2 linked regions of the Nothobranchius furzeri genome follow. Each later gene encodes a partner of the first gene's protein in a complex. Links are inferred from orthologs where the notes say so. Each region holds a gene or a part of one and is shown in the gene's direction. Other genes may lie near its edges.

Evidence for each region. The genes of interacting proteins can lie anywhere in the genome.
Region 2: cyfip1 (region 1) and wasf2 share a complex: the UniProt entries of both Homo sapiens proteins name them as parts of the WAVE2 complex. The link is inferred for Nothobranchius furzeri from reciprocal best matches to the Homo sapiens genes CYFIP1 and WASF2.

The regions. Positions count from the first base shown.
Region 1 is NC_091756.1:62,400,643-62,407,206, reverse strand, and holds the end of cyfip1 (cytoplasmic FMR1-interacting protein 1 homolog), read left to right. Parts: intron 1-87; coding exon 88-182; intron 183-321; coding exon 322-560; intron 561-642; coding exon 643-790; intron 791-3,709; coding exon 3,710-3,874; 3' UTR 3,875-4,309; downstream 4,310-6,564. Other genes in the region: magnesium transporter NIPA2, read right to left, coding at 4,696-5,354, 6,546-6,564. UniProt on the Homo sapiens protein: Component of the CYFIP1-EIF4E-FMR1 complex which binds to the mRNA cap and mediates translational repression. In the CYFIP1-EIF4E-FMR1 complex this subunit is an adapter between EIF4E and FMR1.
Region 2 is NC_091759.1:21,186,556-21,194,748, forward strand, and holds the start of wasf2 (actin-binding protein WASF2), read left to right. Parts: upstream 1-3,855; 5' UTR 3,856-3,978; intron 3,979-5,723; 5' UTR 5,724-5,753; coding exon 5,754-5,886; intron 5,887-8,193. UniProt on the Homo sapiens protein: Downstream effector molecule involved in the transmission of signals from tyrosine kinase receptors and small GTPases to the actin cytoskeleton. Promotes formation of actin filaments. Part of the WAVE complex that regulates lamellipodia formation.

The DNA.
Region 1 (6,564 bases):
TTTGTTTGCATGTTATTTGCCACATTTAACACAAAAGATAGAAACTGCAGTTAAAATAATTTAATCTCCGTTTACTCTTTTCTGTAGAGGGGGAACGTCTGGATGCTAAGATGAAGCGCTTAGAAGCCAAATACACGGCTCTGCACATGGTTCCTCTGATAGAGCGCCTCGGAACCCCACAGGTAGAACCAACATTATAATTCTGTCGGCAGAACCAGCATGGATGCCGTTTTTATATCATAATTTATTTTTACTAAAGCTGGATGAGTGATATGCGGATGTCCAGGTGGACTCAAGTTTGTTTTCTGCTGCTCTTTCTAGCAAATCGCCATCGCCCGTGAGGGTGACCTACTGACGAAAGAGAGGCTGTGCTGCGGCCTGTCCATGTTCGAAGTTATCCTCACACGTGTGCGGGGCTTCCTGGACGACCCGATCTGGCGCGGGCCGTTGCCCAGTAATGGCGTGATGCACGTGGACGAGTGTGTGGAGTTCCACCGTCTCTGGAGCGCCATGCAGTTTGTGTACTGCATTCCTGTGGGAGCGCATGAGTTCACTGTGGAGTGAGTGCAGCAGCTCACATTTCTAACAAAAACAACAGAACACAGACGCTGTTTCCTAATGTGTCACATTCCCTTTCTCCAGGCAGTGCTTTGGTGATGGCCTCCACTGGGCCGGCTGCATGATCATCGCTCTCCTAGGACAACAGAGACGCTTTGACATCCTGGACTTCAGCTACCACCTCCTCAAAGTGCAGAAGCATGACGGCAAAGATGAGATCATCAAGAGTGTGGTAAGTCAGAGACGAGAACTCCAACCGTTAAAATCGTTATCATATGACTGTTGCTTTGTGCTCGTATCACCACCTTCTGCTGTAGGGTTAGAGTCTTTGTAGCCCGGTGTCTCTCTGACAGTAGGAGGGAACAGAACCGCTGCAGAAGGATGCGGTCCAGTTCCGTATGGCTTCTGCAAAGATCAAGAATCTTTGAGCCCAATCAGAGCAGGTCATTCACACCTGCTGCGCCTGCGGTACGTTGCAGATTCAGGTGCAGAGCTCCGGATTGTCAGGAAGTCATAGAAATGACCTGAGCCGAACGAGAAGAGAGAGGTAGAACTGCGAGGTGCATCTGGTGACGTTAACATTGAAATATGTGTTGCATTATTTTTGCTGGCTTGAAGGGATGTAAGAAAATATCGATATAGCAATATATAGTGATTTTTTTTATTTTTTGCAATATTACATCAATATTAATAAGCTATGTATCTAACTTTTGGAAGAATTCAGTCAAACATTTGTGTATTTTCTTTGCTTTTGGGTGCAATTCAAATGCCGACCGCTAGTTGGCAGCAGTGTGCAAAGGGTTTTGTTTCCACCATTGAAATGTAAATCCCTCAATTAGGGTTCAGATACCTCACGTTAAACATGTTAAGTATCGGTTTGGACTGTTTATGGGATATTCCAACAATAAATTCAGTCAAAAAGAATTTGCTGAGAACATCTAACTGAATGTATCACGACGTATCGTCTCACCTGGATCGTGATACGTATCGTATCCCCAGAATTTCACCAATACACATTCCTATTGGCTTGCGTCTTATTATTAATGACAGGGATTTCAGTTAAGTGTATGATGGTCCACATTATTTTTACAGGTATGTCTTTTCATGTATTATGTCAAATTTCTAATCATTTGGTGCTCTTTTGGGAACAAATTTCCAGATGTTCAGCACACGAACTAGCCAGCCAATCCTATACATAAAGGGCCTGTATTTGTATAGCGCCTTCTAGGGTTCTACAACCCCCCAAGGCGCTTCACAACACAGTCATTCACACTCTGGTGGGGATTAGCTACAGTGTAGCTACAGCTGCCCTGGGGCGCACTGACAGAGGCGAGGCTGCCGAGCACAGGCGCACCGCTCCCTCCGACCACCACCAGCAGGCAAGGTGGGTTAAGTGTCTTGCCCAAGGACACAACTGCAGAATTCTCTGGACAACCTCCTCTACCTCCTGAGCTACTGCTGTCCCATATGAATATATAGTCTTGCCATGACGTATTGACAGCTCTGTCGTGGGACGGAATCTATGGTTGTCTTTGAAACTGTTGAAGACACCAATGCGTCCTTTTCTAAAGAAACTTGAGTATCTCTATCTGTCCTAGACGCAAAGAAAAGTCTAAATAGTCCAAAGTTGATGCCAAAGCTGTTTCCAACGAGCCATTGCCATCTTAGTTTCATTCAAAGTAACATCCTGCCCACCAAACCGATGGAGCACTGTGATTGGCCCACCAAACCGATAAAACGCTGTGATTGGCCCACCAAACCGATAAAACGCTGTGATTGGCCCACCAAACCGATGGAGCACTGTGATTGGCCCACCAAACCGATGGAGCACTGTGATTGGCCCACCAAACCGATGGAGCACTGTGATTGGCCCACCAAATCGATGGAGCACTGTGATTGGCCCACCAAACCGATGGAGCACTGTGATTGGCCCACCAAACCGATAAAACACTGATTGGCCCACCAAACCGATGGAGCACTGTGATTGGCCAGCCAGCAGGCTGTCCAGGACTTTGGAGGTTCCAGTGGAGAGTGGCTAGAGCGACATGCAGAGCAAAATGATTTTGCTTCAGCCACTGACGGTCTACATTTCTAGGCTGCTCATAAACTGTAGTCGGTGTGAATGGCAGTCCGTCCTGAAGCTGGACCATATCCGTTTTGTCCTCTGTAACGATGGGTTACTGACTTGATCACCACACACTAAAGCCTGCTTCATACTGCTGTTTGTGTGGGTACGGAGACACGCACCGCCATGATGCAAATGCACTGTAGCAAGCCTGCGGAGGTTGACGGAGACATGCCAGTTTTCTAATTATCTGTCAAAAGTGACTGAGACCTAAAGCCTGTGATTGGTCAGGACGCCACTTTCCTTTCAAAAAAATAGTGTATAGAAGGTGTCTAGCAGCAGACATGGAGCAGAACCAAGAACGCCTTATTTTGCATTTGTAACACTTCCCAAGCAACGGAGTCTCCATTTACCTGTAGCGGTCTTCCAGTCATTCAATACTTTTAACTCGTCGAGACTGAGAATGTATTCATAGAGCACTAAGGTTCTAATCACCCCTACCCCCTCACACTGGTCATTCACCCATTCACATGCTGGTGATGAGCTACATAGTAGCCACAGCTGCTCTGGGAGACTACCAGAAGTGAGGCTGCCTAACAGGTGCCACAGGTCCTTCCAAACACTTAAAACCAGATCTTTGGAGCACAAAACTACAAACGAGTTCATTTATTAAGTTAGGTATTTAAAATTATTTGTTTTTGCTGGAAATTCTTGGTTTGATGAGATTATTACCAAGTGAGTCAGCTCAGCTCTAGATGGTGTTTAGATATGTGGAAGCCAGTTTCACTGAGAATAACATCATTTTCCTGGTAGTTTTGGGAATATTGTTAGAAGATGTAAATTTTATTCCAATACGTTTATCATTAATCATCATCGAAGTTTGTTCATTAAGTTTTATGACAATCTCCGAATGAGATGCCCAGATTTTGACCCCTCCCCTACCCTTCTTTCCACAACGAACCTTTAATGTTGCCGTACTTCCCTGCACTCCATTGTGGACCTCGGACATGTGAGCAGACGTCTCGCGTTTCCACTGAAGACTGAGCAACACAACATCATGCATTCATGGTTTTGGTTTTCTTCTAGCCTCTGAAGAAGATGGTGGAACGAATCCGCAAATTCCAAGTCCTCAACGATGAGATCTTTGCCATCTTGAACAAGTACATGAAGTCTGGAGATGGAGAGAACATGCCGGTGGAGCACGTCAGATGCTTCCAGCCTCCGATTCACCAGTCGCTCGCCAGCAGCTGAGGTGCTGCTCAGAGCTCTTTCATGGACCAGAACGACACGCCAGCATTACCAGACCAACTACAACTCCTCGTCGTGTGTGTTAGGCTGTTAGGAGTAACGGACCATTAATGCAGTGCGTTAGGACCTTTTTTGTATTCACTTGTGCCTTAAGAGCAAAAATAGATACCGCCTCCATTGAAGAGCTATTCCTTTTCTACTTGCAGGTAGCTACAGATGACAGAGGGATGTTGGGTTCATCAGACGAGTATTTAAGGGTTTGCCGTGGTGAAATATTAAAGGGGAATTTATTTTAAGTAATTTTGTACTTTTAAACATGCATGCTAAAACATTTAAAGGAAATGTAATGATGCACAATGTTTTGTGAAGCAATTATTCACCGTGCCTTGTCTTTGTAATGTTTTAATCTTTTAATTCAATAAATACGTATCAAATCTGTTGGTTCTGGTGAAGAATTTATGTAAAAACTTCTCCCCGGGTCAGAAGGTCCCCAACTTAAGTTTCAAGTATCGTAAAAAGTCAAATCGGAGAATATTCCATTAAATTCAAAATCAGCAGGTCCTGATACAGAATATATATTAGCTTCAGATTTATAGAAAGTAAGTCAGTGCATGGAAATCATGTATGTATAACAAAACAACTCCCGTATGTACAGAGCTACAGCGGAACGGAGTCCTGTAACCGAACACGAGTCACGTTCAGAGGAAAGTAAGGCAAATTAAAACCAATACAATCGACAGGTCCGTCTACGTCCCCTCACAGTTGATTGTCTCATTGTTTATATAAACCATGTTATTACCACGGTTGAATCAAATCAAAGTTTATTACATATCTAAGGAGGACGTCATGGCTCCGTTCCTCCTTGAGACACTGTCAAAAGGCAGACTCACGTCTCTGCCCTCCATGTCCTCTGTGGACTCGTTGTGCAGCAGTTCATAGGTGCTGTGGGAGGCCATGCCGTTGACCGCTGGACACGCCCGTTCCTCTTTCCTCATGGACACGGCCAGAGAAGCCAAGCTAATGCTGACGTCTTTGAAGGCGTGCAGCAGGAAGATGCCTACAATGATCGTGAGGAAGCCGCTGAGGGTCCCGATCACGTCATCGGAGCCCATGTGCTCCCACTCCTTGAAGAGGATGGCGGAGCACGTGAGCACTGATGTGGTGAAGAACACGTAGTAGATGGGTGTCACCAGGGAGGTGTTGAATATGTCCAGAGCCTTGTTTAGGTAGTTTATCTGTGTGCTCACGCAGCCCACCAGACCAAAGACGAGGATCCAGGTCAGCGGGTTCTTCACCACACTCCTCCCAGCTATAGCATCCTTGATGGCAATCCCCAGTCCCTTAACACAGGACACGGACAGCGCCCCGATCACTGAGCAGATGGTGATGTAGACCAGGATATTGGTCTGACCGTGGCGTGGGCTGATGACAAATATGAAGATGAGGGCCACGATAACGACAAGAGTTGCAAAAACAAAAAACCCTTAGAAAAAAGAAGAAATTCAACATTTAATGACTTTAAAAATACAAGTTTATGTACAAGTATATAGTGTTATCCCTGCTTTCTGGTACTGGTGTAATCCTGATTAAGAGAAATTTTATTAATACTAATAGTTTAATACTGACTGGTTACTGCTGTGACATCAGTTCCAATAAACTCAGACTTAGGCTGTCTACTCATTCCCAACACTCCAGAGGAAACTAAATTAACACAGCAGAGCTTCTTGTCCCCTAGTCTGGATTAGATTAAAAACTCTAGATTAGTAGTTCTATAACAATAGTACCAGAGGTTTGGTCTCAGTCCTCATTCACACAAAACGTTGTGTTTCATGCATTTGACATGTTTTCTACTCAAATTAAACCAGTTTAATGAGTTTACAGAACAACAACACACACAATCTCACTATCAGACTCTGTTACAGCAGATTTTATTAAAGGACGGAAGGAAATAAAAGTCCTGATAGGAAAAACTAGATTCACCCATGAATAAACAAAATGGCTGCTGATCGCCAGTATCGAGCATAGCCGGCTAAGGAATTGGCCAAACTGAATATCAAAACTCCAGATTTTTCCCAGTTAATGAACTCATCATTGCTAAGAGCTAACATGCTAGGAATGGCAGAACTCCATGTGGAAGTTGGTACCAGCAGGTTAAAACTAAGGACCAGCATCCACCCTCAGAACAAGGACCTGTGCATCTCTAATGACCGGAGTTGGAAGAGGAGGATGTTGCATAAAGCTCTCAGTTGTGTAAACCTGCTGCTGTTTGGATCAGAACAGAAAGTTTCTGTCTCATAAAATCCCTTCAAATTAATATTGTCTTAAACACTCTCTGGTGTGAAGATGTCTCCAACAGCCCAAGCTGGACGTTTCCCTTCAGGGTGTCGCCGAAGCCAATCCATCTCCTTTTAGTCCGTCTGCTGCATCCTCTACCCGGACTCTAACCTCACTCGTTCTACAAGGTCAGTTTAATTTATAATCCTGCTTTTGAGTAATAATCCAGATTTGTACTGTTTATTCATTTCCTGTAGTTCTATGTATATAGTACTACAGACCTTGAGCCCTGCAGGAACTCCTGCTTCATGGCACAACCACACTGACCGATGCTGTCATGGTGATAAATACGACAGACCTTTTGATTCGTGCCAGGCTGTAAAGCTAGTCTCTTCTGTACCTGGGTCGACCAGTTTCTT
Region 2 (8,193 bases), on another chromosome or scaffold:
TTTCTCCCTATACCATCCTGGGTAGGACTGTGACCGGTGAAGGCCGTGGAACCGTATCTAGGAGTCAATGTGCTCTCTAACCCATTATCTCCCTCCCCTGTCCAAACGGAGGTGTTGAGCGCTGCTCCATGCGGCTGCACGCACTGAAGTGAGGAGAGTCCCCAACCCTACCTCCCCACCTAGTGGACACTTATGTTGTGTAATGTCTGAAGTCTGTGTGCATTTCTGTCTGAGGTGTCTTTTTGCATAGCAAAGCAGCCCTCTCTGTTGAGGGTAACTCTGAAGTGCCTTTTTCACCTCCCCCAGACTCTATCCTCATATAAACCCTCTTGATCTGTAACGGTAGCGCGACTCGTGTTGCGAATGACCACAGTCACCAATTCTTGTCATTTGTCTATGTATGTATGTCTGATCTCAGAATTGTGTGTACTGAAACTCTAATTTCCCTCTGGGATTAATAAAGTATTTTTGAATTTGAACTGAATTGATTCTAAGTCATGGAAGAAGTTCATGTTGATTTAGGAAATCATTCTTGAATTTAACAACTGATCCGAGCTGGAGTGTTCCTTATGTGGAGGCCTTGAGGAAGAAAGTTATTGTTGTCACAGCCGCAGAGTCTGTGAGCTCCAGCTGGTATGAAGGCAGGCTCATTTAAAGGGAACACAAGCAGTCTTGTGTCTCCTGTTTGACCAGATGTTGAATAGACGTTGAAAGGCCATACTGTACCTAAAACTGACCATTGCTGGACGTTGCAAGAGTATTTACTTAAATGTAAAATATACTTTTGGGAAAGTTTTTTTTAACTTTTTTTTTTTTTTACAAAAATTCATTATAAAAAAACTAAAATAGCCAGAAGTTTGATTTTGCCAGCAGCGATCAACAAAAGCCTCCCATTCACAACCACTGCTGCAGACTGGTGTGTGGGCTAGCAGTCATGCTGGCAGCAGAGCCCAGACTGCAAACACCAAAACTAGCATTGATCCATAAACAACAACAGACTCCAGGTGAACGAATACCAGGAAGTGAGCGAGATGCCCTGACACGTCCCCGTGAATTTCCCAAGTTCTTCCTCTCCTCTAATTTGAATGCTAACTCATTGGCAGATGGGTCTCAGGGCTCTATCCAGCCCATCTTTCTCCTCTCCTCCATCCCCAGCTGAGCTGCTCCAGCGTTTTACCTCCAGGGAAGGCTCAGCCAGCACAGCCCCCCCGTGGCTTCAACGTGCTGGCTGCTGTGTGCAGAGGATGGGCTCCTTCCAGCTGCAGATACGCCCTGTGTTGCATATTCCTTTAGGTGCGCCTCTGTCTGTACCACACAATTACCGCCTCGCTTATGCATTCACATCACTGTCACAGCTGGAATAAACAATGCATATCTAATCATGCGTGCCATAAACTCCCCCCCCCCCCCCCACCTTGTCTGTTTGAGTTTCCAGTCTGGATGGAGGGGATGAAGAATTTATCCAGACTGTCTCAAGACTAGGATGTGAGGTCCACACTTTTAATCCCAGCATCTCCGATGCATCCGACGATCACCTTGGCAACGGTTTGGCTAGTAACCATGACAACAGAGGCGGTGTCATCCAGCACACAATGTGGCTGGAGTGGCGAGCCCCAAGGAGGCGTAAGCACAAGATGAGGGGGAACCTGGGCAGTGTCTCGCAAACACTGGCAGATATCATTGCCGCCTTGGGACACCACACTGTAAGACACACACACACACACACACACACAGTTATACACACACTCATACACACACACAGACAGGAAGAAACCCCGCCAAACAAACACACCTTAGTGTCTTTTCACCCCCAACATACCCAGAAAGCTCATTTTTCTTGGCCGTTCCCATAGTAACAGGGCTCTGCGCCATCTCTGGCTGCCATGGCAACAGTTTAGGTGAGTGAATCATACGGGGGTCCAGCTACATCCGGCTGCCACAAGAGGGAGACACATACTTGCACTTGGTGATAAAACATTTAAGATCAGGGAGTCTTGTTTTAAGATGCAGTTGAAGAATTATTCCCATAGCTAACTTATATATATATATTATTTATTTATTTTTCCCTTTAGGTTCATTTTTTTGTATGCTGACCTCTTAAGAGCTGAGTGGCGGGTTTTCCAAAACTGGATCGAAGCAGGAACTCTGGAAAACATCCATCATCTGGTTGCCATGGTGCACCTGCACTGGCCAGGGTTTGAGGTGGGAGGGGCTGATGAGGAAGTTCTCTGCTGCTGGTTCAGTGTCCTTCAGCGGATTGAAGCTTCAGGCCTCTACCTGCTTCACAGCTCTTCTGGGAAGGGTCATAGTGTCCTGAAACAGACAGAAGCAATCGCTCACAGCTCCTACACACTCAGCTGGGTCAACACCCGGCGCTGACATGGAGAGCTGTGGTGCTGGAGATGGTGCTGCACTGAAACTGGATGAGTTTGGTGGAAAGACACTAGTTTTCAGACTCACTGCTCCGCGCGATAGCTCCCTCTAGTGGACATTATAAGTGTTGCATTTTGTATTTTAGGTGTTATTTTTTTCTGTAAACGTGATTTAAAACAGAGATTATAAAGAAAGAATAAATATTGTTTGTTAAATATGTGTTGAGAGTAAATTAATAAAATAAAAAAAATCTAGACATTTTACTTTTTCCAACATGTTACTTGTAAAAAATCAAATGTGCTTTTGCTTTATCTTAATCAGTGATACTATTCACAAATCGGATTCATTTCGATAAAATAAAACATTTTCAGTCTGTTGTATGAAATAAAAAACAAATCAGAAAATACTTTGATGTATTTGTGCACATTAAAATAACCCTTCATGACTTTGTGCAATAGATATTTAAAGTACAAAGCAAAGTATTTTGAGTTGTGTGCCAATGCAAATGCACATACAAACGTTTTCATTCTCCTTTCTCTATCCTGGACAACAAATATGAAACTATTTTAATTGAAATTTACAAAAATACAACAAGAAACGCCAGAAAGTTCTTCTTAATAGATGTTTACCTACAAAAACACTTTTAAAAACATTTTAAACCAAATACATGTTGCTGTGAAGACTCTTGATCTTTAATTTAAGGTGATGTTCTGTAATATTGCATTGTTCAATAAGGAAATTGCCTTCTGCATCACTACTGTGAATGACTCAGCCTTCCACCGCTCTCATGTTGTAATTTGATGTGGGTTGCACTAACAACAAACCTGTCTGACATGATCCTGTAGGTATTTTCTGCATTATTTCTCTTCAGGTTGGGTAATGCAGCAGTTAGATTTCTCAATTCATTTTTACACTTTAGAAATACATCCATTACTTGCAATGACAGTTTAAATTCAACACAAAGGTTTACAACTAGAATGTTGATGCAATATGTGTGTTGTCTAAGTGTTAAAAGTACACACAAGAAAACAAAGCACCGTCTCATCATTAAGCACCCATAATCCTGTTGCCTAGCTGCAATGTTGCAAAGTTGAGCCTCGCGTTTTAACTTCCCTCACGCATGATTTATTATTTTCTGTTGCTTTACTTTCTTTCAGTGTGAATGGGCCGAGCCTGCTGCGCAGGATGCTTTCAACAACGCATCTCTCTCGTGTTCCTTTTAACTTTTAATGTGTTGTTCTCATTCATAGAGCACCGAGATGCCGGTCATTCCTGGGACGCGTTCCAACTCGCGGGAGCGCATGTCGGAATGCAGCCTCCGCCCCCCCTTACTAAGATTGCGGACAGATGTTTGCTCCTAGGGTGGAGCTGCGCTTTTTACGTTGACGTTTCAACATCCTGTCAGCTAAATCCTCCGACAGCCGCGTTAGCCAATCAGCTTCGAGCAACTCCACCCCTCGACCAATCAGAAGTTTGCATTTTCGGGAGCTCACGCGCTGTTTAGCTCGAGCGCTTTACTGTGCCGCTCTGGATTTTTTTAGACAATCATAACAGCAGTCAGAAAACGGGCGCTGTAGAGAGACTCTGCGGCTTCAGTTTTTTACGGTAAGTAAATAATAATCAGTTAGTGTTGTTTTTGTCAAGTTGGCGCGTAAATACGAGCCTGTTTAGCTGCTTTTTCGGTGTAGCGGACGCCCACAAGTTACTTCCTGCTCTGACGAGGCCGTGATCCCAAAGTAAACTAGCTTGTTTTAGCTAGCTAGTTTTAGCTAATGTTGTGGACATTAAAGAAAATCAACGATTTTATCGCGTTTTGATTTGTTAAGCCCGAACTTTTAATTTAGAGAACCTGATTATGTCTAAAGTAGATAAAACTAATTTATCTTAGTTTGTCCTAGAGGCAGGGAGTGAGTCACTGTCGGAACAACATGAGCTTCCCAAAACTAGCAAGTTGTTCTCCAAAAAGTGTGTAAACCTGCGCCATTTGGACACAGTCTGGCTGAAAACTAAGAGAGGAAAGTGAGGACACTTTTGACTGACACGCATAATTAAGTAGGTGACATTTATGCCATGATTCATCGCTTTCTGATGCTTCACAGTTCACATGAAACGCTTGTAATTAGGGAACCTAAATGGGTTTCAGGAAGCCCAACAAACCAGAAACTGCAGATCTCTGAGGGCCTAATGGGAGTTGCTTGTTTCATAAATGAGCTACTGCTTAGTTCTAGAGAAATAATCAGTTATATTTATCATGCTGCAAGCACTGATGTGGGGAAGCTATGAGCTGAAATAAACTCTGGTCTATTTTTACTGCTGAGATGAGCAAAGTTTTAGTTTTGCTTCTGCTTTGTTGTCTGGTTCAGTTTTATTTTTACATGTCTGTGTTTGCCATGAGCCTGACTTTAAAGTGTGTAGTTTTATTGCTGGTATAAATTCTTACCAGAACGGAACTTATGTTGCAGTAACATTTACGATATGGTGCAATGATTTTGAGATGACGTTTATTGAAAATAACCCTTCAAAAAAACTTTATTCATCTTGAATATTGTGGTAAATCCATGTTTTCCGTGCACCTTTCCTCATGTGCGATCAGCATGCTAATGTATGTCACAAACTAAGAGTTATTGCAGTCGAAGCAGTTATTCGTTAACTTTTTTTTTACTAATACTGCAATAATGCTACCATTTCAATGTATTTTGCAGCCCCTTCAGTGTTCTTAGATATACAACAAATCTCTGATTTTACTGTAGTACGTTAGAAAAAATTGGCCTTTAAATAAATTTCTGAACGTACTAATGGAACAAAAACTTTTCATTAATATATATGTTGTTTGTGTTTGGCATGTACATTTGTCTGTAGCAACCCAGAAATGAGGATGAGGAAGTGAAATAGTTCTTTTGAGCTCATATTTAGTGTCTGTTTATGTCTTTGTGTGTCCTCATTGGTGTAAGTTGCTGGAAAATCTAGATAACTAACCTTAAAAGTGCTTGAATTAAATTTTTTCAAGGCTGCCGCCTCCTGTCTTTTGAGGTTTAGATGCCTTTCATGTCTTTAAAAAAATGCACAGCTTACTGTAAAGTGACTGAACATTAAGCCAAAGAAAACTTAAAGGTGTAGTATGTAAAATATATAGTGAGAAATTACAGTGAGAAAATCCCAAAAGATCCCAAAAAGCTCCAGAGTTGTTTAAAGTGGTAGCATGAAACAAATTTGAACACAGTATATCATTTTTAGTTAATTTTTACATAATGCACCTTTTAAAGAAAAGAGGAATGACTAAATATTTATTTGCAGGTATTTAATCACCTTATCCATTTGGCTTGAATAACTCTTCCATCCCTCTTTGTCAGGGTTGGGTCTGCTGCCCGCCACAGCCCATCATGCCTTTGGTGACGAGGAATATTGAGCCGCGGCATGTGTGTCGCCAAACCCTCCCCTCCACCATCCGCAGTGAGCTGGAGTGTGTGACCAACATCAGCCTGGCCAACATCATCCGTCAGCTCGGCAGTCTCAGTGAGTGATGTGCAGTAAAACATGGCGGCTGAGCTAATACAGGGGTGGACATTAACTTCAAAACCAACCGGCCAGCCGGGCCGGTAACTCTGAATATTTACCGGCCCCGCTGGTCAGCTGCCAAAACGAGTCAAAATAACAACTGAACTGTTTTAAATGTAATAAACCTTTATTTTGTACACATTCACAAACATAATAACGTATTCAAGTTTGAATTTGTTTGTTCCCTCAACAAAACACGATTTTGTCGTCGCATACTTCCGGCATACAACGCAGTACATCACCAACTCCGCTTTGCTGTACTCGAGCCATTGGCTGTGTTCGAGATGAGCCAGTTCTGCGCAGATTAGACCAGCGGCGATCGGCGAGCAGTGCATGCCGGTTAGATTTGTGTCCGACTTGACGCCGACTTGCTCTGACGTCATGCACACGTAGGCAACGATAACCTCGTGAGATCAAGGCGACCGCAGATTTTGGAGCAAGGCGCTGCAGTTGCTCTCCCTCGGCTGCAAAACCTAGAGGATGACGGGAAACGCCTGGCTCTCACCCGATCTAAGATCTGATTGGTTCATATTTTGATCCAAACATCCGGTGGTAGAACATGAAATGTTAGTTGGTCACATGTATTCTGTAGGGCTGGGGGTAAACGATTATTTTTAAAACGATTATTCTGACGATTATTTTATCGAATAGTCGACTATTCTAATGACTATTTAGAAAATTAATCTAATGATTATTTTTCTATTGCACAATTAACAAAAACCAGAAAATCTCAAATAAATTCCTCAAAAAAATTGATAAATTCTTACTGTAAGAGAATAAACACTACAGGCCTTCCATTTTGTATAACACTGCGTTTATTGTGTTGGTTGGTTATGTTCTGGTGACGTGTAGAACTTGGGAGAGCAGGCTGCTGTCTGAGAGGTGGTAGAAGATGGAGTGTCTCCATGCTGCTTTGTTTTGGTCACTTATGTGCGTGAGGCGAGTGGTCTTACGGGTTAAACCAAACTCAGGTGATATTTTACACTAAACCGAAAACCCACAACACTCTAAATGTAATAAAAGGGAGATCTACACCACAAAAAAGATGAACTCTAAACCAAAACGTAACAGCTTATCCCAACGCAAGAAGCTGTTAGCGAAGATGCTAACAGTAGCTTTACCAACGTTAAGTTCAAGTTACCAAGTTTAAATAAACCAAAAACACCCAGCAGCAAACAGACCAGCACGGAGGAGAGACTGCTACCACCAAAACAGCTCTCCTCATGTCTGAAAGAAGCTCCTTAATGAAGGGAGAAGCGCTCCCGGTGATTTTCTACATCTGCGGTAGACACGAAGCAGCACATCTGACCCCGGAAGTTGTTGTCCGTTGCCGGGAGACGAAGGCGGGCAAAACAGGAAAATAATCTAGTAGTGGACGGACGTTGTTCCGGGTCTTTGGTATTTGGCGGAGATGTTAGTGAAGGCGGAGAAGAGGGCGAACTAGAGGAAAAACAGGCAGATTCCTCCTCTATTTACAAACTCCTGCGGATGCAACAAGTGGGCGCGGTGCGTCCACTACCAGATCTGACGTCGACAAATTTTTAGAATCGAGCCGTCGACGTCGTCGAGGCTTCGCTACAGCCCTAGTATTCTGTAAATCATGTTATGTTGATGATGACAACTATATAGGCCATGAAGAGAAATGTTTTTTGTGTTCTTTTGTCACGTTTCCTATGAGCACACTGAAGCTACAGCTGATAACCTTTACTCATTATTACAGTCAGGTCTCCAAATACAATATATGATATCCACAAGCACGTGAGGATGTGTTTCAGCTGCTAACAGGCACCAGAATTAAAATAGAAAATTGAACAAGTGTGAACGCTAACGCCATATCTTCAGCCATCGTCGCCCCCGAGCTACACATGTAGGGAAATCTGTCCGACTTAAACGCCGGCTTTCAGCCACTCCCCCTGCTGCTTACGTCTGCTCTCGTCTGTTTTCCAGGCGAGGCGCTGCTCAGCTCGAACATGGCCATTCTCTGCGCCTCCCGTCTTCTTTAAACCGCCAAGAATCATTCCACCTACGCACACGCTTCTCTGCTTCATACCGTTTCCAACTGTCTCGCTTCTCCTCACCAGTTTTAAAGCGTTTTGCCGGAGATTTCATCAAGAAATCCCATCCCTGTGGCGGCGCCATCTTCCTGTGTGCTTGTGTGTTTCTAGCGTGGTGGTTCCACTTCGTCTTTAATAGTGAACTTATAGTTCACGTGACTAGAACTAGATTCGTGCAGTACGTGGCTAGAGGCGCGCCGGTTCACGCGCG